Linked DNA regions of Bombyx mori. The protein of the gene in region 1 binds, or shares a complex with, the protein of each later gene. Links are inferred from orthologs where the notes say so. Each region holds a gene or a part of one and is shown on either strand. Other genes may lie near its edges.

What was found.
Region 2: E3 SUMO-protein ligase RanBP2 (region 1) and nuclear pore complex protein Nup98-Nup96 share a complex: the UniProt entries of both Drosophila melanogaster proteins name them as parts of the nuclear pore complex. The link is inferred for Bombyx mori from reciprocal best matches to the Drosophila melanogaster genes Nup358 and Nup98-96.
Region 3: E3 SUMO-protein ligase RanBP2 (region 1) and nuclear pore complex protein Nup205 share a complex: the UniProt entries of both Drosophila melanogaster proteins name them as parts of the nuclear pore complex. The link is inferred for Bombyx mori from reciprocal best matches to the Drosophila melanogaster genes Nup358 and Nup205.
Region 4: E3 SUMO-protein ligase RanBP2 (region 1) and nuclear pore complex protein Nup85 share a complex: the UniProt entries of both Drosophila melanogaster proteins name them as parts of the nuclear pore complex. The link is inferred for Bombyx mori from reciprocal best matches to the Drosophila melanogaster genes Nup358 and Nup75.
Region 5: E3 SUMO-protein ligase RanBP2 (region 1) and nuclear pore complex protein Nup214 share a complex: the UniProt entries of both Drosophila melanogaster proteins name them as parts of the nuclear pore complex. The link is inferred for Bombyx mori from reciprocal best matches to the Drosophila melanogaster genes Nup358 and Nup214.
Region 6: E3 SUMO-protein ligase RanBP2 (region 1) and nucleoporin Nup188 share a complex: the UniProt entries of both Drosophila melanogaster proteins name them as parts of the nuclear pore complex. The link is inferred for Bombyx mori from reciprocal best matches to the Drosophila melanogaster genes Nup358 and Nup188.
Region 7: E3 SUMO-protein ligase RanBP2 (region 1) and PCI domain-containing protein 2 homolog share a complex: the UniProt entries of both Drosophila melanogaster proteins name them as parts of the nuclear pore complex. The link is inferred for Bombyx mori from reciprocal best matches to the Drosophila melanogaster genes Nup358 and PCID2.

The regions. Positions count from the first base shown.
Region 1 is NC_085121.1:11,012,575-11,016,729, forward strand, and holds the start of E3 SUMO-protein ligase RanBP2, read left to right. Parts: upstream 1-1,355; 5' UTR 1,356-1,589; coding exon 1,590-1,658; intron 1,659-1,733; coding exon 1,734-1,959; intron 1,960-3,259; coding exon 3,260-4,155. Other genes in the region: transcription initiation factor TFIID subunit 6, read right to left, coding at 1-125, 244-480. UniProt on the Drosophila melanogaster protein: E3 SUMO-protein ligase. Component of the nuclear pore complex (NPC), a complex required for trafficking across the nuclear envelope.
Region 2 is NC_085117.1:3,526,906-3,530,405, forward strand, and holds part of nuclear pore complex protein Nup98-Nup96, read left to right. Parts: coding exon 1-4; intron 5-829; coding exon 830-921; intron 922-1,812; coding exon 1,813-1,954; intron 1,955-2,120; coding exon 2,121-2,249; intron 2,250-2,560; coding exon 2,561-2,677; intron 2,678-3,500. UniProt on the Drosophila melanogaster protein: Part of the nuclear pore complex (NPC). Required for MAD import as part of the Nup107-160 complex and required for nuclear export of Moe probably via its association with Rae1. Plays a role in nuclear mRNA export.
Region 3 is NC_085121.1:1,014,373-1,017,872, forward strand, and holds part of nuclear pore complex protein Nup205, read left to right. Parts: intron 1-188; coding exon 189-365; intron 366-649; coding exon 650-820; intron 821-1,313; coding exon 1,314-1,431; intron 1,432-2,247; coding exon 2,248-2,362; intron 2,363-3,332; coding exon 3,333-3,500. UniProt on the Drosophila melanogaster protein: Plays a role in the nuclear pore complex (NPC) assembly and maintenance, but with limited role in NPC permeability. Required for specific nuclear import pathways such as Mad import.
Region 4 is NC_085123.1:528,829-532,979, forward strand, and holds the start of nuclear pore complex protein Nup85, read right to left. Parts: upstream 2,801-4,151; 5' UTR 2,688-2,800; coding exon 2,613-2,687; intron 2,541-2,612; coding exon 1,848-2,540; intron 1,219-1,847; coding exon 1,096-1,218; intron 595-1,095; coding exon 379-594; intron 1-378. UniProt on the Drosophila melanogaster protein: Component of the nuclear pore complex (NPC) that seems to be required for NPC assembly and maintenance. Required for nuclear import of phosphorylated Mad via importin msk.
Region 5 is NC_085123.1:8,944,261-8,947,760, reverse strand, and holds part of nuclear pore complex protein Nup214, read left to right. Parts: coding exon 1-138; intron 139-1,098; coding exon 1,099-1,260; intron 1,261-2,010; coding exon 2,011-2,193; intron 2,194-3,356; coding exon 3,357-3,500. UniProt on the Drosophila melanogaster protein: Part of the nuclear pore complex. Serves as a docking site in the receptor-mediated import of substrates across the nuclear pore complex including emb, RanGAP and phosphorylated Mad. Protects mbo/Nup88 from proteasomal degradation at the nuclear pore.
Region 6 is NC_085111.1:4,868,685-4,872,184, reverse strand, and holds part of nucleoporin Nup188, read left to right. Parts: intron 1-92; coding exon 93-392; intron 393-1,454; coding exon 1,455-1,960; intron 1,961-2,196; coding exon 2,197-2,377; intron 2,378-3,011; coding exon 3,012-3,276; intron 3,277-3,500. UniProt on the Drosophila melanogaster protein: Component of the nuclear pore complex (NPC), a complex required for the trafficking across the nuclear envelope. Required for proper protein transport into the nucleus.
Region 7 is NC_085115.1:3,910,084-3,914,260, forward strand, and holds the start of PCI domain-containing protein 2 homolog, read right to left. Parts: upstream 2,801-4,177; 5' UTR 2,415-2,800; coding exon 2,199-2,414; intron 1,838-2,198; coding exon 1,669-1,837; intron 1,074-1,668; coding exon 265-1,073; 3' UTR 1-264. Other genes in the region: Nopp34 (nucleolar phosphoprotein), read left to right, coding at 4,012-4,092, 4,167-4,177. UniProt on the Drosophila melanogaster protein: Required for the export of nuclear mRNAs and involved in mRNA trafficking in the cytoplasm.

The DNA.
Region 1 (4,155 bases):
GGGGGTGGTGCTGATAGGATCTCCGAAAGATCTATCTCTTTTTCTTCAATGAAATGGAGTTCTCTACCTCCTCCAGATGCGAACCTAAATGGCAGCGAATCAGGCTGAATAAATCCATATTGACACTAAAATGAATGAAATAATATAATGAATTAAAAAAAAATATTGTTAATTTATCATAGGAGACCATGGAACACTTAAAGCCATATTTAAATATTGCTTTAACTGCAGATATTAAAATACCTCATTGTTTTTTATCTTCAGGGCATGATCTATATCTGTAATGGAAAGTTTTTGTCTCTTTGAGTGATGCATGAACTTCATGGCATCTTGAACAATCACTTTCAAGCGATATGTAACATCATCAGCGAGTTCCTTAGCAGCGTCATCGCCAAGAGTGGCGATACCAACACTCTCTGCTATCACTTTCATGGAATCCAACGTTAACGAAGATCCATAAGCCAATTCTGAGTCGCCCATGATAGAAATTAAATCTATAAAAAAATAAGGTTGTGGTTTATGAAAGTTGTTAAAGTTCTCAATTCAATCAAAGGGAGCATATGAATACCTTTAAGATACGTTGACTACAGCATTAAACAATGATTTATCACCAAATTGGTTACGATTACGATAGACCCCTTGTATCACTGTATTCTTTGGGTTAATCTTTAATTTTTTATTCCTGCTTTTTTCTGATATTTTCCTGTTGTGATAAGGTAAAGTTAATTAATGTAGATAAGTAGGTAGGTATGTACCTGTGTACCCTAATTTATTTACTATTTGGATACAAGTAGACATTCTACCATAGATTTTTTTGGTACAACATATTCTTCTTCTTAGTTTTTGGATCCGGCACGTTTGTGCATTAGCCAGCGTCAAGTAATAAGATTTTTAGGAATCGCCGTTTTAAGTAGGTATTTACAGTTTACGAATAATAAAAAACGAAGGAAACTTAATCAATTGGCATGAAATGCTGCTTATGCTGCCCATGCTCTATTATTTGTCTTGAGTGTGAAAAAACTGGATGAAGCTATTTTATGCCAATACTATGGACATGTCACACCCAAAATTAAAACTACGGTCTCATGCCATAAGATGGGTGTAGATTATAATGTCTATGGGATCAAGTTGAGTGCATGAGCTAAGGATTGCGTAATTTATGATTTTTTTATTAAGCCAAGTAAATTTTATGACAACAAATAGAAACCATATTTTTTTACATTTTTAAGCATTGCTTTATAAAATTGTTCAGTAATGCATGCCACAGAAAAGTATTCCAGAAAATGAACAGTTATGAAACAAACATTTTTAAATTTGTGGTACATTTTGAGCTCATTTTTAGATCTAGCAATTTTTTGCTCTATAACTGACGACATATTGACTTTTGACGGCATTCCAATTTCTATTCGTTATTATTCATTTTGCCAACCATTTCAAAGAGAATAAAGGTAATCAATATAACCAACCATAGCTTCGCGTTCGATTACGGGCATTTGCAGCCTCATGCGCTTCAAGTTGTAATATTATTTTCAAAAGGTCTAGTTTTGTAAATAAGTGACTACTATCGGTTAGACGGAAAAATCGTTAAAATGTATAGAAATAAAAAAGACGTTGATAAGCACGTCGAAAATTTGCTGAACAAAATATCTTCGAGAGAGGTTGGTAGTTGGTGTTCAAATCAAGTATTACGCTTATTGACAAAGTTTTTACCATCGATATTTGGTTATTTTCAGTTTAAAAGTCGTGCTTATTCCATCGCTCGGTTGTATTTTGAAGTTGGCGATTTTGCGAATTGCCAAAAATATGTTGAGCAATATCTTACTCAAAAAGATAACAATGCAGCGGCTTATAAACTTCTCGGACAAGCTTTGCAGAAGATAGGACAAAAAGAAAAGGCTTTAGAACAATACAAAACTTCCCTGGACATTGACCCAGCCCAGACAAGCACTATTCTAGACAGTAAGTCTTACTAAAATAATATTTAATTTACAATTTATCATATAGCTACTTTACTAGGTTTGTTAATATTAAAACCAAAATCTTCTATTAAGCCATTTTTATGTGCAGTATTCTTATATATATTTATTTATATTTATGTGAAAATTATATTCTTAGTTATATTCTTTTTTTCTATCAGTAAGTGTGTTGGTGGTAGTACTATGATTAATTTATTTCCTTAGATGATTCTTGTCAGCTTGGAAGAGGTCATATTTAGTAATAAGACTGCATAAGCATAAGTACAATACATTGTTTGATTTTTTGTTTTTCTTTTGATTTTATATTGTTTTGCAATAAAGAATACTCTATTATTATCATGTATATAATAAACTACATAATATAATATTTTGTATGTTGTTAATAGGTATGTATTCATTTGTAGCTATTGTATAGTTTGAAGTTGTTATACCCGAAAAGATAAAATTCTTGAATGACTTCCACAATGCAGGAACACACTAACTTATAAAATCAACTAAAATTAGGTTTTGCTATACAAATGAGATATAGACCACAAGTCTTAAGATCTGGCCTCTCATGTCTAGAAGCTCTAGTAACCACTTAACACCAAGTGGGTCATGAGCTTGTTCATTCTTTATTAGGCTTGATTGATTGATCATGATTAGGCAAGTACTCACACATGACTAAATACAGTTTCAGATCAACTTTTCTAATTTATTATAAAAAAAAGAATAATATTCCTAACCTAAAAGTACATTTTATTATCCGCAACACGCTTCGTCAGATTACAGAAATAGAGTTATCAGCAACATGCTTCGTCAAAAAGTACAATACTTACTTTCAGTTACAAGCGTCGTCATAAGTAATACATAGGTCCACATATAGGTTTCAGATTGTATGATGCCTATTTCATATCACCTGATGTATAAAATATGTGTGTTGTGATTATTTTCATTCAGTGTGAATTGACCTGACCATTACAAGTAATAAAACCTTGCCATTGTTTACCTTACGTGCACTGCTTCACGTCAGATCTGTTTTGAATATTATACAAAACAATAAACTACAAGTGGCTGAAGGTCTAGTATAACCAGCCACTTTAATGCAATAAAAAAAAAACTAAGATAAATTAATTAATCCACCAAAAAAATAGTGGCAGTCAGCATAGCTTTTCCATCTGTATAATCATCTGTATTCCCTCTGTTATAATTGATTGACTTGTCTAAATTATAAATAATGGTCAGGAAGATCATAATTGATGTTTTAACACCATTTAAATGAAATATAAAAATACTTGTTTCAGTTTGTGAACTTCTAGCTGATTATGATGTGGAAATAGAACCTGGACGTGCAAAATACTGGTGTGAAAAAGCAGAAGCAATATTCCCTAGACACCCTGTTACTTTTCGACTCCGTGAAAGACTTCTATCCTTGCAAAATCCAAATCCTGAAGCACTAGTCAAATTAATAACCACAGAATTGGCAATAAGACCAAAAGATGCACAACTTCATGCACGTTTAATAAAACATTATATTAGCACAAATAAATTAAAAGAAGCTTTTGAACACAGTTGCAATATTGAGTTTGGTGAAAATTTTTTCATGAGTAATTATGCTTGGTATGAAATTTTAGCCAATCTTGTGGTAAATAGTGGAATTAACCATAATGAATGGCTGTACCAGTTATTGCTTTTAACTGTTAGAGAACGTTTGTGTGTCTTAAGTTTAACTGAAACACCAAGTGGTACATCAAAAAGCTTAGTAGAGTCACAAGAGTTTCTACAAGCCTATGATCAGTCAATTGAAATAGTTGCAAAAACAGGTCCTAGTCCTGGCCATGGAGATTTTCATGCAAGTTTGCTTCAACATCATAAAGGACAATTTAGCTTACATGCTGCTACACTGTTACTGAAGAGGGCAAAGAAAGACCAGTTGAATTGGAGAGATGCTGTAAAATATGCTGCACCATTGATGTTAATAGCATGGCAAACATTACCACTTGATCCAAAAGTAAACTGGGTTAAACATGCCCCAGAAAAACAGTCAAATGCAGTTAGACGGTGGTTTTCTGAAGGAACATACAGGTGCTCTCAAGCAGGTCATTATCTTTTGTCAAATATTCAAGATAAGAATCAAAAATTAGATCAAATATCACATACACTTGTTGGAACAACTTGGAGGGAAACAATCTATGAAAAA
Region 2 (3,500 bases), on another chromosome or scaffold:
GCGGGTAAAGTATATGTTTATGTTTTTTGAACTATCCGACGGCTCACCTAGATTAATACAGTAAGAGTAACGCCATCTGTCATCAAACACCAGAAACGAATATTAAAAGAACTAGTAACATCGAAATGCTCGAGAAGTGTAACGCCATCTATTATCAAATAGCGGAAACATACATCGAAGGTACACGCTTTTTTTTTTTTCTCTTTTTTATTGCTTAGATGGGTGGACGAGCTCACAGCCCACCTGGTGTTAAGTGGTTACTGGAGCCTATAGACATCTACAACGTAAATGCGCCACCCACCTTGAGACATAAGTTCTAAGGTCTCAGTATAGTTACAATGGCTGCCGCACCCTTCAAACCGAAACGCATTACTGCTTCACGGCAGAAATAGGCAGGGTAGTGGTACTTACCCGCGCGGACTCACAAGAGGTCCTACCTACCACCAGCAATATCGAGAACGCTCGAGAATTGTAACGCCATCTATTATCAAATAGCGGAAACACACATCGAAGGTACTCGATTTCTGAGGCATGTTCTCAACGATTATAGGGATGTCGTAGCGACTATAAAAGCGTTGCTGAGACGGCGTTGTACTTCTCGAGCGTTCTAGATGTTTCTAGATCCTTCGATATTCGTTCGACTATTCGACGATAGATGGCGTTACTCTAACCGGCGTAACAATAAGTACGTTTGTCAGTTTCTGGTACCCATGGTTCAGGGAATTTTAATTTCGGGCCGGATGTAATTGCGTTATTTATTTTGTGTCTTGTGATGGATACTGATATATATATATATATATATTTTTTTTGTTTTTTTTTTTCTTTGCAGGCTCCACCCTGTTCAATACAACGACGACACAAGCGCCGGCGTTCGGCGCCAGTACTAACACATTCGGGTTTGGCGCCAACACGCAGAATCAGGTCAGCAGAATTAAGGATAATAATCCTTAAAACCTTTGGAATACTGTATTGAGGCGGGCAGCGGCCTCACTCCGCCCCTGGCGTTGCCGAGGGCCACGAGCAACGGTAACCATATACCAACAGGTGGGCCGTAAGCTCGTCTGGTTAGAAGGACAAAAATATATTTATCGAAGGGTGAAATGATATTCGGTTTAAGGGACTTTTCTCTTTGTAATTAAAGGTCCGTTTTATTTAGTATCGACATCAACAAGTTCGATGTTTTTAATTGAACTACAATTAAGTTTACCCCGTTGTAATAGTTGTACAAGTTTTTTTGTTATGATATTTTTAACCGATTTAAAAAAGGGGGGAGGTTCTCAATTCGACTGTATGTTTTTTTTCTATGTTTGTTACCTCATAACTTTTGACTGGGTGAATCGATTTTGATGATTCTTTTTTTATTGCTGGAAAGCTGACGCTTCCCGTGTGGTCCCATTTCAATTTAGTCCAGTTCCGATAATGGTATCCATGAGAAAACCATATAAGTCTTAAATTTGCATTAAGTACGTGCGCGACAAATAGATAGATGAATAACTCAATAACTCAATATCACGCCAACCGATTTCGATGATTATTGTTTTTAGTGTATATTAATTTGCTTTGGAATATCTTCTTTTTTTTTCTATTTTATGTCGGTTTTTGCTGAAGCATGTCTATTTACAATTATTTCGAACTAGAGTTAGTATTACCAATAATAAAGAGTAAATTAGCTGAAATATTTTTTATACGTGTGATCGAATTCTACTGTCTGTAGGCAGCCAAGCGTATCGTTTATACGATAGTAAGTGGGCGCTCATGGTGGTGATGAGTGCTTGAGTTCAAATATTGATTTTACGAAATTATTTGTTTCAGTCAACTGGTATATTCGGGGCGAAGCCGGCAACCGGAGCGTTCGGCACGACGCCGGCCAGCTCGGGCTTCGGTTCATTCTCGGGGGGCGGAGCACCCTTCGCTGCCAAGACGACGGCTCCGGCGTTCGGTACCACCACATCCGGTATTTTTTTCTTTTTTTTGCCTTTTTTTGTGTGCACAATATATATTAAATAAATAAATACGATCGAGACATACATCTTATGTCTTGAAGTTCTGATGTCCATGGGCCGCGGTGAGCACTGAACCCGCTGCCCGGCGTGCTCACGGTCAATGTGTTTCGTCCACAGCATTCGGCAGCATGGCGCCTACGTTCGGCAGCGGCACGCAGGGCGGGGGCCTGTTCGGGCAGGGCACGGCCTTCGGGAAGCCGGCCACCACGCAGCCCAGCTTCAGCTTCGCCGCCTCGCAGCCCGCCGGTACGTATAGCTGGGGGGAGGGGGTCCCGCGCGGCACTCGGCGCTCCGTACTTTCAGGGTCTTCATCTGCTAATTCAGAGGCTAACATCATTGCACCCAAATGCCTCGTTGTTAACCATCCTCGAATCCCCCAACGTATTTTTTATAAGTTTGCATTTTTTTAGCTACATTGAACATAGCAAAATATATACTGCGATAAGAAATCACTTTTGCATATTTTATCGAAACCACTTTCGTGAAACTGGAGTTTAATATGCATCACACTAATTTCGTAACGTAAATTCGTACTAACGCTATCGTGTCCCCCTCAGCGCCGGGGCTGGGGGCCGGGGCGGGGGGCGTGTTCCAGGGCAAGCCCGCGGCGCCGAGCTTCGGCACGCTCGGGCTCGGCACGTTCCAGCAGCAGCCCGCCAACACGTTCAAGACGGGTGAGAGCTTCACTACATAGTATAAAACAAAGTCGCTTTCTCTGTCCCTATATCTGTCCCTGTGTATGCTTAAATCTTAAAACTACGCAACGGATTTTGATACGGTTTTTTTTTAATAAATAGAGTGATTGAAGAGAAAGGTTTATATGTATAATAACATTCATTAAATAGTGGAGAAATCAATAATAAATTACAGTTTCCGAAGCGAAGCGAGGGCGGGTCGCTAGTTCTCTATACAACGAACCGACCCGCGACCACGGAGGTCTCAAAAGGCACGTGGAAGTTGTCGTGGCCTAAAGGATAAGACGTCCGGTGCATTCGTGTGTAGCGATGCACCGGTGTTCGAATCCCAGGCGGGTACCTACCAATTTTTCTAATGAAATACGTACTCAACAAATGTTCACGATTGACTTACACGGTGAAGGAGTAACATCGTGTAATAAAAATCAAACCAGTCAAAATATCCTGGTGGCCCTGCCTATTTCTGCCGTAAAGCAGTAATGCGTTTCGGTTTGAATGGCGGGGCAGCCATTTTAACTACTGAGACCTTAGAACTCATATCTCAAGGTGGGTGGCGCATTTACGTCATAGATGTCCATGGGCTCCGGTAACCAATTCACACCAGGTGGGCCGTGAGCTCGTCCACCCATCTAAGCAATGAAAACGAGGCTTGATGAGAGTACTCAGGGGTTTGTTGATGTCGATAAGCAACGGTCACCACCAGGAGGCCGTGAGCTCACCAGCCATTTTTTTTTTTTTTGGCAAAACGTCCCAGGAAAATTTGCTTGTACCGCACGATGTTATATCGCTGTGGGGGTCGGTG
Region 3 (3,500 bases), about 10 Mb from region 1:
GTGTACATACCGTCACCAACATGGAAAAAATAAAGATATACATAATTTTAGCACATTTTATAACACGTAACGCAATAAGCAGTGTAAAGGAATTCTAATCAAAATAAATCGAGTATTCAATTACTGTGTTTAGTCGTCTTACGTGACGTCATTATGCTGATTGTTGTTGCAACGCGTTGCGGCGGCAGGGCGGACGAGGCGGCGCGCTCGGTGCAGGCGTACGCGCTGGAGGGGCTGGCGGCGCCGGGCGGCTCGCGCACGCGCCTGGACGCGCTGCTGCGCTGCGTGCGCCGCCTGTACGCGCGCGACCCGCACCGCCTGCGCGACGACTACTGGCAGCCGTGCCGCCCCGCGCACCAGCCGCGGTACGACACCCACCCTCCCACACTTGCAGTGATGCAAGAGATAACAATTTTTTATCTTCAAATTGTAGTAAAATATATAATTGATTTTTCTAAGTATATTATATACTATGTACTTATTTTTTCTAAATTCATGTTAATCAAATGTATGATAAGAAAGTGTTAAACCATTAAACCTCCTTAGTAAACTACAGCTTTATCTTTCAGCCTGTCGGAGCAGTACCTAATAAAAATGTTAATTTTACTTTTTAAAAAGTTCATATTATGATCAAGTATGATGTGTACAGTTGGGGCGGACGCGCGGCCTCGCTGTACAAGTTCGTGCGGGGCGCCGCCTCCAGCGCGGCGCTGCAGGCCATGGCTTCGCTCGCCGTCTGCACGCACACCTGGGCGCTGCTCTCCCGCCGCGACGCGCTCTCCGCGCACCACATGCTGCTCGCACTCGCCAGATACCACTCGTACGTACACACGCACGCACACCTGGGCGCTGTACTGTATACGATATATAGTTAATTATATTGTAACGCGCTGGGGCTCGGGATAAATAAATGTTCCACCAAAGTACAACTAAAAACAGTATTCAACACTTAGAATACTTAAAACACTTCACAAACACTTTAAAATTCTCAATTCACTTTTTCCGCTTCGCTTCAGGTGATCCGTTCGCTATTTCGCTTCGAGTAGTTCCGGTTACTAACTAACTGCGTGCCATCCCTGCAACGCTTTTATAGCCGACACCACATCCCTATAATTATCGAGAATATTCCACACATTTCGAGTATTGTGTTTCCGCTATCTGACAATAGATGGCGTTGTACTTCTCGAGCGTTCTAGGTGCTACTAGATCCTTCGACATTCGTTTGACTATTCGGCGATAGATAGCGCTACTCTTACCGGCTTAACAATATTATTAAAAGTAACTGTACGCAGTCGCGATTGTCACGCACACAGGAACCTGCGCACGGACCACGCGCCGTTCTCGGACGCGCTGCACTCCTCGTCGCTGGGAGCCACGGCCATCGTCACTCCAGCAGCCAGACCGGGGAAACTGCTCATCCGACAGGAAGAGGTAAGGAGAATTGGTACATTGTACAAAATTAATCATTAAAAAAACGCTCATTTGCGAAACCACTCTCGCGACATCTGCCATGTTGTGATGACACAGTAAAAAAGTCTCCCCCGGAGTCCCAATAACAAAATTCCAACTCAATCATACGGAAGACACGCTCGTGCTCCAAGGGCACAAGGGAACAGTAATCCGTGACCGCGGAGGTCTGAACCTAACTATGGATCGGATTTCTTAAGTGGTGGGGATAACGGAATGGACTTGTGAAGACGCGGCTGTAGCTATTGTATGAAATTGTAACGTTTAATACAGTGTAACATAGATCCAGTGGTTTCATTGGAATCCACAGGATGCGTAAAGTCTGCAAGTGAACTAAATCTTTATGTCGTAACGATTGAGTATATTGTTACGCGCTGGGGTTCGGGATAAATAAATTCTACTGAATTACAAGTTAACACTGTATTAGCACTTAGGACACTTCAATACACTTCACTACACTTTAAAATTCTCAATTCGCTTCATTCGCTTCGAGTAGTTCCGATTACTGACTGACTGCGTGCTATCCCTGCAACGTTTTTATAGTCGATACCACATCCCTAGAATTATCGAGAATATTCCACACATCTCTAGTATTGTTTCCGCTATCTGACAATAGATGGCGTTGTACTTCTCGAGAGTGCTAGGTGCTACTAGATCCTTTGATATTGGTTCGACTATTCGGCGATAGATGACGTTACTCTTACCGGCGTAACAATATTTTATTGAGGCTTCTTTGTGGCGGTATTGTAAATGTAATTGATGTCTGTTGTTCGCGGGCAGGTGGAGGCGATGATAGCGGCGCTGCAGCTGCTGGCGGGGGTGGCGCGCGAGGACCAGGCCGCGGCCGCCGCCATCTGCGAGAACCTGCAGTGGGACGCCGTCAACAACATGTTCGGTGCGTGCCCCGCCGCGCTCACATTGGTACAACGCAACCACGACAGCTGAACCTTCCATACTATCTGGAGCCACTCATCCACAGTGCCTTTTCAGAATTATTTTCTGCCACGTACCATCCGGCTTTGGAATGAGCTCCTCACTACGGTGTTTCTCGAGTGCTATGACATGTCCTGCTTCAAACGAGGCTGGTGGAGAGTACTTAGCGGTAGGAAGCAGCTTGACTCTGCCTCTGGCATCCTTGAAGTCCATGGGCGACGATAACCACGCACTATTAAGTCGTATGTTCGTCTGTCTACATGGGCAATAAAAAAAAAAAAAATCGGTTGTGAATGTTTCACCTCTCGCTGTACTGGCGGACTTACGCCTGAGCTTTTGCAAGATAATTTGTGGCCACATCGGTCACAGTAAAATGAGTGAGACCAGCGGGCGCAGCCGCAACCTGCAACGCACGGACGTGACTATCTGTTTACCTATCTATGATCATGTGTAATGTAATCATTGCGTTCTACAAGCAAACAAAAGTAATTTACAGAAGATCGATCCAATTGAAGCGGCTCATAGACCGTGAACCATTTTGGAAGCCGATTCTTTAATCCACAACGTATAAATAGTTACATAGTGTCAGCATGTTCGAGTTGGTACAAACGACGCGACGGTTTCGGCGCGACTCGGACACGCCACTAACACAATACGAGTGACGAGAAACTTAGACAATATATCGACGCTTGAAAGGCAAACGTGACTAAGCGACAATAACTGCTTTGTACATAAATTATAGGCATTAACCATATTCGATGCGCAAAAAATATATATTTCTAGGTCTATTAAAATCATTCCAATCCTACAGCTAGATTCGTTAAAATAGAATTTTTTTCAGGTATTTCAACTTTAAATTAGTCTACTGTAAAGTTCACGCATTGTCGCTTAGTCACGTTTGCTTTTCAAGCGTCGATATTCTTCTTCCGCAGGGCTGATGTGCTGCCACATACCGTTGCAGCTGAAGGCGGAGCTGTGCCTGACGCTGGCGGCGCTGGGCGGCTGGCCCTGCACCGCGCCGCGCCTGTGGGCCGGGCTGGAGGCCGCCCGCCTCGTCTCCCTCACCAACGACAAGCGGGCGCTCAACGCTGAACTGCAGG
Region 4 (4,151 bases), on another chromosome or scaffold:
CGGACATCAGCAACCGAGACTGGACTTAAGTCAAAAATAGGGATCCGGGGTACGGATAGACTTGAAATCTTAAGCAACGTGGCCGTCTTTGACGAATCACTGAGTGACACAGGAGGGAGAGAAAAATGCTTATTGAGGGCGCACAAGTCAGTATCCTTGACAGAAGAGACCGGAGTTTTGCCAATGCCGACAGATTTAAGGAATCTCCAAGTATGAGCAGGGCTGCGATTTTCAAGTGATTTGTGAAAGTAAAGTCTTTTAGCATCTCTGCACAAATGGTTGCACCGGTTGCGCAGTGCTTTGTATATGGCCAGGCTGTACCAATTAATTAAAAATTTAACTAATCTTTTTACCAGCTTACTGGCATCTGTCACTTACTTGATGCATATCACCTTCCAACAATGCCCGTAAAGTCCTATCCAGCCTAGAGCCTGAGGGCATAGATCCCATTCCAGCACAGGCCGATGCTGCAGCAGACAACTCATGAGTCCTAGACCAAGGTGCTGTGAACATTACGTAGCCTCCCAACATATCAAACCACGATGTGTATGTGCTACGTATTGACTCAAATGCTGAATATTCTCCTATGATTAACTGTGGGACAAAATTGTATAAATTAGTAAACGAATTACACAATGTTTTAGTATAATAAAAAATAAGCCTAATTAGCTCACTTCATCTTCCTAAAGCCTATTTTAAGACTTAGTGTTAATTAATGAACCACTTAATAATATAAAAAAATAATTCTTGAAAACATTTTCAATTAAGAAAAAAATTCATTTCACAATATTCAAATCATAACTCATTTATTTTGAAGTTATAGATTAACTGATTAAATTAATTAAATGTTCTTATTTGCTGTATATTATGCTGTTATTATTACCGTTATTCAACAGGTATGCTTGCATCTGCCATGTTCCTATTTGATTTGGCTTAGAACGGGGAAATTAGCATAGATAAATAGGTAATTTTACAAATTTTTTGAATGTAGTAAATGATGATGATGGTGGTATACACTTTAATCTAAGAATTTTGAGGACAAGAACAGTTTCTAGTTTATGCAGTTACTTAATTGATTCACACATCTTTACTTACTCTCATAATAAGTTCAAGTTTTGGTTGTGATGCCAACACTCTGCTAGTAACCTTAGCTCTGCATTCAGCCTGCCAATGCTTCCAAGTTACTGTAAACTCCCCAGTTGATATACCACCATATATCTGTAATTTTATATCCATGTTATGTAGATGTAAAGTGTTTATGGCAAGATGTGAGGTAAGATCGAACTTTTAGCTATAGGATATCCCAGGTTAAATTTGTTTAATAATATACAACTTTTCATAACCACAATGAAGTCTTTGATCTGACACAATGGTTACATAAATTAATAATAACATAAATTTATAAATTTTGATGGTGTTAATTGTTTTTCCCAAAATAGTTTTCCAGCTGAAGTTTGACATGTGTGGACTATAACCTATATCATGTGAACAGTCATTCAGTAGTTTAGACATAAAAATCTAATAAGACAAGAGTAAAGTTCATATATGGCTGAGCCTTTACTCGCCCACCTGTCCTGGTGAAACTGGAAAGGCCTCCGGGCCACCAGTAATCTTTCATTCATAAAGAAAAAACATTCATATAAAATATCTTATTAGCATGTTCCAAACATCTCTAAATGGTGATGGAATTGTTCAGATAAATTGTCTCTTAACTATCCAAAGTATAATTTTTGCTCTTAATTAATTTATACTGTGGAATACTTAATGAAAATCAATTGTTCCCTTTATTTGTGAGGAATTTAAATGATAATTTGACTTTAGAAATTATATTTCATTTTTATACTCACACTATAAACAGGCATACTCCGTAATGAATTATCAACAAGCTTAAATTCATTTGTTTCTGATAATGAATTTAATTTCAGTAGAGCTCGGGCGACATCTACTCGCCCTTGCACAACCATGCCAATCACAGTATCCCAATAGTCATCGTGGTCTTCTGAACCTCGCTCACAGGCCTCCAGCAACTGCGCTGCAGTCTGCTCATGGCACGGAAAATGGAATCGAACCCATTCTAGGAGGTATGGCAACACAATGTCTCCGGGAATCTTATCTATGTAAAGGATCTCACATAAATGCCAAATACATTCAACAGAATAAAATATTGTAATGTATGATTGTAAATTGATCATGTCGCTGCCGTCTTTCGCATCATTAAGGGCTTCTTGCAAGTTTTCAATGCACACTCTTATAATAGAACGATATTGTCGTGAAAGTTTTAATAATTCCACGTGATTGTCATTATTTTTTGAAGAATCGACGAGTTTCTGCAGAGATAAATATGTACCATTGGATTCGTTTACCAGTTTTCGTAAAATCGGATGAAATAATACAATCTCGTGACGTATATTGAGTATTTTGTTTTCGACATCATTTTTTGGTGTTTTCGAAACAGTTTGACTGCGTGGGTAGATAGAAAACTTGTTACCACTCCTCCACGCACATCCTACGCCCTTATTGAAACATTTTTCTGGTATATTCTGTAAGAAACAAAAAAAATAACTTAACTCAAACATAACCTATATATTCGTTGAATCATGTTAATTACTTACAAATGTTTTAGCTCGAATAATAGGACTACTATCATCGCCACGAACATTATTGTTAGAAAAAGTCGTTATATTCATTTTGTATTAAATCTTTCATGTACACAATGCAATTTCACATAAAATTTTGTAAACATTTGAATGCGAAACAGAATTGATCAGAAACCGCCGTTTCAAATGCGCTGATTTTTTTATTTGTTTCACACATAGAACAAGGTGAAAGCAAAGGAAACAAAATCCATACAGCCAATTATTCTTTTTGGTCAAATGCGTAATAATAGTGGGTTAGTAATCTTTTAGCATGTGTATATGGGCAGGTGTGAGAAAATAAAACAAAATCGCAGGACATGGCTTAGCGGTATCTTTTTCAAAAATACGCACACAATTCTATTTCGACGTCACCTCATCTCATCTCATTGCAATTTCAGATGATTCAATTTGGTTTCATTCCTTCCTATTAGATTTAGATAAGTTGACGAGCAATACGCACCTGTTATTTTTTATAATTCGTTGTCTATTCGCTGGTGTCTAAGGGGCTATTTCAGCTACGCGCAAACAAGTAGATGAGCTCAGAAATTCAACCTGAGAAAATTTGCTAACACTAGCCCTAGCAAGAACAGTGCCGCTGCAAAATCTATTACCCGATCAGAATCACGACTCATTGAGAATATCCGGCCAGAAACGCAGTGGGTTGTGTCTATGAGTTAATTCGATCATCGAAAACTTCGTCGCAATTGACGTGATTGATGAAGAAAGTAACCGTGAGTGAAAGGATCGGATAGGTCATGTTTCGCGATGTAATTTTACGTTGCCTCGTCCTTTGAGTCGGATATGTAATAAGCAGCGGTCACATTAAATAGATTATCGTGTCGCACCGAGCACTACGTTAATATTGCCACCGATCACAAAACATAAAATCAAAGACTCATTTGTATTGTATAGACTATGTAGTCCACCTTTCATAGCGGAACGCTTTCTAACTGTTATGCTTTAGAAACAGACAGAACAGTGATACCCAATAATGAAATTTACTGAAATCTACATGTAATTTCGTTCGCGTTCGACTTTTGTACTTCGGGTTTCAACTTCTGCACTTTCACAGATGCTAAACGATTGATAATCTACCATGATTATACGTTTAAACTAGAAGCAACACTAAATTAACAAAATAAAATAATCCATACAGTTACCTTGCCTCCCCGCCGAAAAGTTTCTTACAAACTTTAAATACACGAACATACGGCCAACAGTGCTAGACAAACTTTAACCCAAGATAACTAAAAAGTCGAGTATGATAGCCGTAAACATATTTTAAAAAGGTATGCATTGACAGTTGACGTTTTTGTTTGTTTTCGTAGTTTGACGCTCGTGATTCATTGTGAAACGTTTATCCCCTATAATAAAAAAAGTTTTTAAGTTTATATTTACCCTGAAATTAAATCCTTCCAGTATTTACAAGGTATAAAGGTACGTGAACATTTGATGACTTTGCATTTTTATTTAATAAGTAATGTCGCTGACCGGATGACCTGTTGGAGGACATAT
Region 5 (3,500 bases), on another chromosome or scaffold:
TTTCAATTTAACTTCGCTAGACTCTGAGCAGCTCAAGAAAGATTGTTCACTGGAAGACTTAAGGGGCGCGATAATACAACTAAAATTGGAACTTGTCCGCACCTGCGCTCTAGTCGCAGAAGCCCGTACACATGCTAAGTAAGTTAAGATAATTTTTTTTATATTGTAGTCTACTGAACGCGACTGTCGCTTTTAGATATGACGTCTAAGTCTCAATTGTATATAGTGCTAGCTAACCCGGCAGACTTCGTAGTGCCTCAATCGATAAATAAAAGACACATCAAGGGGACACATCAAAGGAAAAACAAAATTGTTTGTTTTTATATAATTCCGAGCTTTTTTATATTTTCTCACCTTTTAAACCTTCCCTGGACTTCCACACGAATAATTTAAGACCAAAATTAGCCAAATCGGGCCAGCCGTTCTCGAGTTTTAGCGAGACTAACGAATAGCAATTCATTTTTATATATAGAGATAACGGCGGTTTTAACCTCAGGCAGATAGAAATAGGATGATTTGTAGTACTCACCCGTGCTGGTTCACAATATACCAGTAAAAATACAACACTGTTATTTCTTCATTGTTGAAGTAATTCGTGAATACGTGATACGTACGTATTTCCTTAAAAAAAATTTATTTCTGTCTGCGGGGCTTGAACCCCGGCATAGTCGCATCGCGTGATTGATACGAATACATTGACGTCTCGTTCTCTAAGGAATTATTTGGTATGATAAAAAAATATCATTAGTATTGACTTAAATTTTCGGAATCAGAAAAACTATAAAATTATCTAGGCTTGGCAGTAAAAGTAGAAAATTTACTGGTGGTAGGACATCTTGTGAGCCCGCTCGGGTAGGTACCACCGCCCTGCCTATTTCTAGCGTGAAGCAGTAGTGCGTTTCGGTTTGAAGGGTGGGGCAGCCGTTGTACTACAAAACTGAAACCTTACAACTCATGTCTCGAGGTGGGTGGCGGCATTTACGTTATTTATGTCTATGGGCTCCGCTTGTTTTTACAATAAATTAAGCTGATATAATTAATAAGCACGTGTCTGTCGTAATAAGCATGTGTCTACGAAATACTATTATTATGTTTTAGCACCAAAGATCTACAACAATGGACGCAAGCGGATCCGCTGACAATAAAAAAAGTTGCATCAGTGAAGAAACTTGCTTATTACGTGCGGAATCAACTGGAACAAGCACAGAAAGCGCTGGATTATAAATGGAACGAAATAGTCGAGAATGATCCAAATGCCAAGTAAGTGTTGTAGGACATTACAAAAAAATATATATATGTATATAAAATTTTAATTTAAAGTTAAATTTTGCATTTATACTGGGTGATGCTTTTATTCGTCTAGTATAATTTTGTTTACCATTGCAACTCGTGATATTAAAGCGTAAATTTCATCATCCGATGTGAGACATCAAATATGTTATATTGTATAAAATCTTTGAGAGCCGAATCCGCGATTGCTTTGTGCCGAAATAAGCAAGTTGATCCCTACACCCATACGGTCACAAAACGCCCTTCTCCAAGTAATTACGTAAATTAAATAATTTTACGTGTTCGATTTTTATAATAATCTAAATTATTATATAATGTTAGATATTATTTGCCATAAACAAAATCAGTACCTGCCGTAGGATTGCGTCTTGCAATGCGTCTTCTTATCGTCTTATCTAGTAGGCTAGAAAGATTTCTTCTAATAAAAAAAACTGGTACTTTGTAAGTCCTCTAGGTGCCGACAATCTGTCTTTTCTGCGAAGACCAATCGTTCTTATTTCGAGGGCGGGAACAGCTGAAATAAAACTAGCTACTTCGTGTGTCAAAAACGGCGATATTTACTTTTCGGTGTTTTCGACTCTGATACCGGCTTTAAGACCAAGTATCCTTACGTCTGGGTCATAACAAATTAGTGTTTAATAATAAAAAGGAAAAAAATGTTAGTCAAGTCACATTATGCAGCCGACATCTTTAATAAATTAACTATTCAATAATATTCAGACAGGGAAAGTACATGATACGTCCAAGACTGGACGACGTGTACCAGCCGCTGGTGAAGCAACAAGAGATCCTGAGCCGACAACAGACCGTTTTAAGGAACCTGCGTAATGCACTCAAGGAATGTGACATATTACCGTTAAGCAAATCTCCGTCGCTGTTGAGAAGCACTCCTTTTAGGAACAAGTGAGTTTATATATAGAATTCATAAAATGCTTCGAAAATTAAATTCGTTTTTTTTTATTGCTTAGATGGGAGGACGAGCTCACAGCCCACCTGGTGTTAAGTGGTTACTGGAGCCCATAGACATCTGCAACGTAAGTGCGCCACCCACTTTGAGATATAAGTTCTAAGGTGTCAGCATAGTTACAACGGCTACCCCACCCTACAAACCGAAACGCATTTCTACTTCACGGCAGAAATAGGCAGGGTGGTGGTATCTACCCGTGCGGTCTCACAAGAGGTCCTACCACCAGTCGATTTGAAGAATTCAATTATATTTTCCAAGAATTCGATATTGTAATCTTCAAAATTCTGGATAGATCTATGTTTTGGTGCGGGCTGTATGGGCCGGTTGCTGATATAAAGAAAACTTGTGCTTTGTGCTGCAATACGGTTTATTTGAATGTCCATACACTTGATATTATTAATATGAAAAACACGTCCGCTCGCGGTGAAAAGTAAAAAAGGAAGAGACTGTTTTTTTTTTTTTTTTTAAGAGATTTTATGACCTGGTAACTAAGACCTTTAAGTCATGTCTTATTTTACTTTATATTCTTAATTTTATGAAAAATGATAATATGGAGTGAAATGAAATGAAGATGATTAATTTGAGACATTAATCAACTGGGATGAAATTTAATGAAATGAGATGATATGGGATGAAATATAATCGCAGTAAAATGGTGGTCATTTACTGAGATTTTTTCAGTGGACTTTTTGGAGGAACCCGAGAAGTTACGTCCAGCAGCTTTGTTTCATTTTCCCACATTTGTGCACTTTCACAGATATTAAACAGTTAATAAACCACCGTTATTACACATTTAAACCTGAAGAAACACTAAATAGACAAAATAAAACAAATCACACAACTTCACTGCTCGCGTTCCCGCCAAAAAGTCAGGAAGAGACTGACATCAACAATGTTGCCAGTCATATAATTTTATTTTCCATGCTAAAATGTTGGAGTTGCCAACACTCTATAATACATTAGAAACAGTAGTTGAAATCACCGACATTTGGGCTCGATAGATTTTTTTTTCTTTGTCCATTTCTGGTTCCATGTCGCATAAACTTGCCTATGTGTATGTATTAAAATATAATAAAGATACTTTTATCGATATTCACAGAGATCCTCTCTCGAAGTTAACGAAGAACATATTGAATATGAGCATAGAACCGGAAACGAAGACAAAGAAGCCCCTGCTCACGCCGCAAAAGTACGACGCTTTAAGAGATATGCTATCGAACCATAAAATAGTTAAAATAAAGCC
Region 6 (3,500 bases), on another chromosome or scaffold:
ATAAGTTTGGGAACTCCTGATTTAGGACCATAATTTATGAACATTACACTATAGCGAGAGATTACATACATTAAATGTAATCAACCTTGCAGGATCAATCAAAGTGCTCACAAATAGCTAAACAAAGAATGTTTAATATCCTCAACGAGCTTTGTGACAAGTTTGATGGAGACGGAAGCCTCAGCAATCAAACTGGCATTATACAGCTGTGTTCAGACCTGCTTCAGTCACCAGAAATAGCTTGTCAATTCTGGAAACTTCATCAGAGAGACAAAGACTTTGGTGTAGTGTCATTATGGAATACTGCACTAGAATATTTCCCTCATCATTTTAGTCCTCTCTCAAATTTAGCTGCTGGCTTAGTTCAAGCTGGTAAGAACAGCGTCAGAAATGTAAGTAATTTTAAGTAATATTTTTTGATTTAAATTGCTAATAGCATTCTTAACTAAAAAAAAAAAAAAAAAGTTGAATCAAGCGATCAAGACGAAATCCTCTTGCTCAGATATAAATGATACATAATGTATTATTGTAAAAGATTACCATTTTCGTGTGTAACTTATAACAGGCAATTATTTTGAACAAATATGCATTTTTTAAACTATAGTTATTCTGCTGCACTTCACTCTTAACTATTGTAGTTTATTTATAGAGTAGTATATGTTTATGCATGATTGTTTTTGATAAAAATGTATTTTCATAAAGCATTTAATAATATTTAAATTGGGAATTTAGCTAGTGATAAAGGTAGTTCCGAAATATTGATAAAAGGATGCACATAATGGAACATTACATCCGCTATTTAATTTTGAGTAATCAAAAGCTTTGCCTTAAAGTCTGAGAGCTTGTAAATATTAATTGCTATGTCATTTTACAACGAATGTCCATACTGTTTTCACAAACGGTTTCTGGATCTGTTGCACAAAATTATGTAGATAAACAAACATGGAAAGTTGCTGCAGTCAATGTTTTAGGGGGGATACCACTTTGCTAAAAAATCTCGTTCAGCTTTGGAGTCATAGGATCGTATGTAATATGTCCCGAATTATTAAAGTTATTTATTTACTTATAGCATATTATTAATAGTGCTATGCCACAAACTTACCATCAAGTAACATTTGTACTGAATTGGATAAAGAAGATGCCTGTGTATTAGCAACACAAAACAAAAAAGCATACAAATATTGATATAGATGGGATAGTGTATTATGCTACTAATATTAAGCATGATATTTTGTGAGAATTGTTACTCTTCCACTCAAAAATTATTGGACAGAATTTGATGAAACATAGCTTTACACATCAGAATAGCACATAGTGAATATTATAGTACGATCAATATACAATAGGTGGCGCCCAAGTTAAGGAACTGATATATTTCAAATAACTAGCGATAGACACAGTAGGACTCGTTTGGTTTTCACCAGCAACTAATATACAATTTTAAATGATTACAGCTAATATCTGAATTGAAAAATTTACCTGTATACACGGAAATATACAATCCAAACGCAGTACCACTGGTATCTATACAATACGATGACGCCATAGTCGGCAGAGAGTACTACCCTCTGGGAGATCCGTCTTATCGCATTGAAACTGGCTCCAAAGCCACAATCATGGAAAGAAAGGAAGGCACCATGATCCACTTCAGAACACCTTACTCTTATTGGACGGTGTTCAACAGCGATATAGAAAAAGCTTTAGACAGAAAACATCATCAGTACAACGTCAATGCGATATTGCAGAGAGTTTTTGAAGGTGCGAGAGTATTAAAGGGTGTACTCAAGTCGCTGGTTGAGGAGAAAGAGATCCCAAAGGCGTTGGTAGAATCATGTGAAGGAGTTTTCGATATACTAGTAAGGTTTATGAGGGCTGATTCTCCGCCTCTGCTGCTTTTGGTGGAATGCCTTGAAGTATGTTCTGCGTTGGTGCCAGTTTTCCCGAAAGAAATTCATTTGAGGTGTGTAATTTACATTTTTTTCAATCATTTTTAAGGGAAACTTAATTTGACACAAACACTTTATTTTAAATAAAAACTTTTTTTAAATAACAAATTTTTTAGACTTCTCTCAATGTAAGCTTATTATCTCTTATCTTAATATAATAAGATATTGTTTATTTACTAATACGAAAATCTAAGAAGTGTTAAATTTTATTGTTAACAAAAAAAAAAATTGCAATAAATATATTTTTCAGATTGATAAACGCAGGTCTGTTACCACGCATCATGAATCAGAAATTGACGCATATAGAGTATGCCAATGGCGAATCGTTTGATTCAGCTACCGTTGGATCCTATTTAGTTGCACTAGAACAACCTACAGGAACATACAAGTTCCTATCTGCGTATATTGATATGCTTTGCACCTTTCATGAGGTACTGAGAAAATTGTGATTCGTATTCGTAGTAGTAAAAGTTTTAAGGTCTTTTTAGTAATATCACAGAAACTATTAACCTTGGTTTATCTAGATAATAAATATTTTCCTTTAGTCAAAATTTTGTCATAGCATCAAAGAAGACTCCTAAATAAATTTCACCTAAATCGAAAGGGGTCGATCTAACCTGCAATTTCTGTTCTATAAATCTAAAATAAAACACAAAGCCTTTAACTCTTTGACTGCCGTGTAGGTCACCGGTGCCCTACGCGGCGCATTGAAGTAATTATGTCGATTTCTGTTACTAAAACGCCCGGACTGCCTAACTTTGCCTTCTTTTGTTGGTTAATATGGTATGGTATGGTAAAAACTAAACCAGTCTTTTAAGTTGCTTAGAAATAGATTCATTCTCAGGATCGTTCGGATTCGTCTCTCCCAGAGAGTCTACTAGATATTCCGGCGCCTCAGTAAGAAGATAAGAAGAAGAGTAGAGAAGAGAATTACTTCAGTGCGCCGCGTAGAGCACCGGTGACCTACACGGCAGTCAACGTGTTAAACAATTTTGTCATACACTATAGGTCTTTAATTAATTTGGGACGGAGCTTATAACGGTAACTATTTCAAAACAATAACAGGCATCAACCGAAGAACGTGTTACCAAAGAAATAATTCTGCCCGGATTGATCCTGCTCCTGCGCGAAGTGTTGCCGAACGCATACGGCTGGCGCTACACGAACATACAGGACCGGCGCGCCATGTTGCAGCGCTGTATGCGCTTCCTGACCTTAGTGTTGCAAGACCAGAAAACAGATGGCAGCACCGCGCTGTTGAAACGGACCTGTGTATATAGTTTACTGCACACTGAAAACGCTTTGGTGCTGCTCAAGATTATTTCACTGGGTGAGTTTTTTTTTCTCCTTTTTTTTACCTAAGCTGATGGTCTAGAGAGACCATTCCAGCGTTAGCAAGGGCCGTGCTTCGCAGAATCTACCATCAGATCGGAAACGCGACCCACTGAGAAGATCCGACGAGAAACTCAGTGGAATGTGTCTGTAGGCTAATTTACTCGCCGAGCCCGTAGTCGCAAGCGACGGATTCGACGAAAACTATGACCAGTGCTTGGG
Region 7 (4,177 bases), on another chromosome or scaffold:
TTCTATTTTATTTAATGACAACCCTAAACACATTAGTGCTACTAAAATAAAAAAACTGGACTACTGAACTGTTTTGTGTATTTTTATGGATATTATATGTAATCAAAAAGAAAGTATTTAAATAGTGAAATTGCGTCAGATATACAATTGCTCATCATCACATTTCACTTAATCAGCCTTTATGCTAATGGAATCTTAATTTTTATTAAAACAATCAAAAAATTAAGTGTGTATTCCCCTAGGTATTATTTAAATGGTATAAATTTAATACAGACTAGATAATGGAGGAAAAGCATTTTGTTTACTGACAACCACTTTCTTGTGTTGGTATGAGATGTATCCTTTGATTTTTCCATCATATATGAGATTTGCAACAATACATTGAGTTTCATCTGAATCAACATCTTCCTGTCCCATGATTTGTAATGCTGCCTCGAAGCTGGCTATGTCTATCTGATGTGAATTCTCCGCTAAATATACTTTCCTAAACAAATTTCTGTATGCTGTAATCTTTAATTTTTCTACAATCAAATAAATACCAGCCGTTATGAAGAACTTTTCATGTTCCTCCATAACCATATCGATACCACGCAAATCTCCATTTTTCACAGCTGATATTAGATCCCAGAATTGTAGCAAATCATATTTCTCTAGTAAATATTTTGCGGGCATGAAACCCAACAGCATTTTCACAGGAACTAAATAAGTTAGAATGAGCCTTTTATTTCGTATGCTTCTTCTGTGACAATTTTCAAAAGCAAACGATAAGTATTCATCAGCTAGACGATAGTCTGAGTCAAACATGGCTTTACGACCCACAAAATATCTGTATGTAATTTGTTGGGCCAGTGGGAATTGATCTTTGAATGGTGAAGAATCAATGGCTCTAATCAATGGTTTGCAAAGGTGGAGCTTGTTTATCCTGAAATATACTTTAAGAAGTTGGTTTACAAGACACAACATGCCTATCTTTTTGGTATCCACATCTGAAGCTCTGTTGTCAGCAGCACAGACTCTGAAGCAAGCTAATAAGCTCTCTGCTGCTTTTTCCATAATTTTACTGCCATTTTGAGCTGAAATATTGACAAATGAAATTAATTGTACAGAATACAGATTATTTAACACAATATTGACTAAGACAACAACTCATGCAAGTATTTGAGATAATTTCGTTTTTTCGACATTGTACCACCATAACAGAGTTGAATCCTACCACCTGTGAATATACTGAGCACTTAGGGTTAGTCATTCTTCAAACAAGACTAAGGAGACAAATCTTGAGTAGAAGGGAACCTGCACTTAAACAGCCACCAGATGATGAGTGGTTACTAGAGTCTGTAGACGTTACTTTGTGAAGTCTGCCTTAAGTGATGAAGTTTAAGGCTGAATTGTATAGTGTAATTGCTGCACTATTCTTCAAGCTAGAATACATGATTGCTTTAGTACAGAAACAAGCAGTTTGGTAATACATACCTAGTTGTGCAAACTTATAACACAACCGACCATCATAAATACTATAAGATCTCATTTCTATGACACATTATTTTCCTTGGCATTTGAAGATTTCAATATGAGTACTCCAGGCATCTTATTCTTAATGCCCTAATCACTTGATACTATTACCATCTTATCTTAGCTCTTGAATGATGTATGCAAATTCATACTTACGGCTAGATGCCTCTGCTTTCTGTGCAACAAGTCTAAGATCTAAACATGCAGCATACATAACCGGAAGGCACCAGTTCTCTTCTTTCTGTCCCTGTAATAGCTTTACGACAGAGGCCACACATATACTCTGATGATCGTATGCCTCAATGTAATCACTTGCATATAATGCCTGGAATGCAAAGCATTTTTTTTTATTGCTTAGATCGGTGGATGAGCTTACAGCCCACCTGGTGTTAAGTGGTTACTGGAGCCCATAGATATCTACAACGTAAATGCGCCACCCATATTGAAATATAAGTTCTAAGGTCTCAGTCTCTGACCGAAATGCATTACTGCTTCTGACTACTACTGACTCAAGAGGTCTTGCCACCAGTAAAAGTATTTGACGAGAAGCTAATAAAACGATATATTTAAAATACACTTAACAGGTAATGTTCGCTGTAGTAACGGCCAGATTAATAATGGTACATTTACTATTTTTTAATCTATATTTATCAATTTAAAACCAGAATTAAATTCATATATCTCACCTTAAGACATGATAAGTGTGCAATTACAAGTTCATCTAATGGAGCAACACAATTTCCTGTGACAAGGGTTGCAATATCGCTAGATAATAGATTCCTATTGTAGACATGTTCATCTCTTAGAGACAACAGTCTAGACAATATGTTACCTTGTCCCGTTCTGTACATACGTTCCACACATTGTATGTATTGATTAAGAGTGCCAGTTATCATCGACATTGTGGTTAGGTATTACTGGATTTTTAACTTTGAATGACTAATTTTAATATACAAAATTACAAGAATGTAGTTTTTCCTATAATTTCGTCAATCGACATTTCATGATTGATATTTATCAAAGAATCAGAGTTTATTAGCGCAAAATCGGTCTCATGAAAACATTGAAATTTTGTTTTCTTTATATGTCATTTCCACTTTCCACAGCTCAACTGGAGAAAGGATAAGTTTTTCATTCCTTGGATAGGCACACGGAAAGAAGTCTATACCGCTAAAGCATTTGGAAGGCCAAGACTATACTTATTATGTGAAATGGAATGTAATTAAGTGAAATCAAATGTTTATTTATTTTTTTAGATGAAGTGAATTATAACAGCGGCAACCATACATTTTTTTTTGTTTGAGACACAAATTGCAGGCATCATACTGTACTAACGATGGGTTAATACTGATATTTGTCAATATACAAATATATTCGTTATGTAATATTATAATACCTTAACTAATACGTGAATATCCTGATATCTTAATATACTTTGATAAAACGGGTAAACGAGTTAAACCTAATACGGTATTCGTGAAATAAGTTAATAATCATAGATAATACACATTAGTTATTAATAATATAAATAGTATATTGTATCTAGGAATTTGACTTCAAGGAATCAAGAAATGAAGGTTCAAACATTAAAAAGTAATGCATTTAAAAATTCCCAAGCTGTATTACGAATATCTTAATGAATACTAATATATCGGTCTCACCCTTATACTGTACTGTGTTCCATTTAAAAAAGTAACCAGTGCAGCTATTAAAGGAATGGCTTCGCAGTATACTAATTTTACATTATATTTTACAGTGCTCCCAGTGTACATCGGAACATAGCCTTAAGCATTAACACAGGTGCGAAAAAGCTAGTGAACCACTGTTTTATACGTTTAAGCATAAAGTAAATGAACAAAATGTAACAAGTCACATTAATCCTTTTCTCACGATCCCGCCTAAAGGTCTTGAGCTTTTTGTGTCTGTTACACGAGAGTTTGTTATTTCTACCAGATAGCCAAAGGGAATCTATTTTTATATTAAATTGATGTACCGTATTTGCAGCTAAAAAATAGATAATATGTAATGCCTACACCTATCTGACGCAAACGATACATATTAAAACGAACATCAATCTGTGCACTTAATACACGAGAAGGCTTGGGACTTTTTGGCGGGAATGCGAAGAGTGAAGTTGTGAGATTTGTTTTATTAAATTTTTGTCTATTAAGTGTTTCTTCAGGTTTAAATGTGTAATAACGGTGGTTTATTAACTATTTAGTATCTGTGAAAGTGCTCGTTCGTCCCGTTTCATCTCGTCTCGTCTCGTCTCACTTCGTTTTCATTTTCATTTTCATTTTATGACATTTCGTGCATTGTTTTATATTAATCAGCTTCCTTCATTTCATACCACTTTTCATAAAAATAAAAATAAGACTTGACTTAAAGGTCCTACTTACCAGGTCATAAAATCCCTAAAAATTAAAAAAGAAGACTTTGTTGTTCTTTATTTACACTTCTAAGTTTTTGCTTAAATCACATTTTAAATTACGAAATAAAATGGAAGAAAACGTTGCGTTGGATTCTAGCAAACAAAAAAAGTTTATCAAATCCATTAAAGGATTGCAAAAAACTATAAAGGTAGTATTAATAACATTATATATTTGAGACTAGGTTATAAAAAACCAGTGTACTTATTCTTATTTATATCACAGAAGAAAAAAAC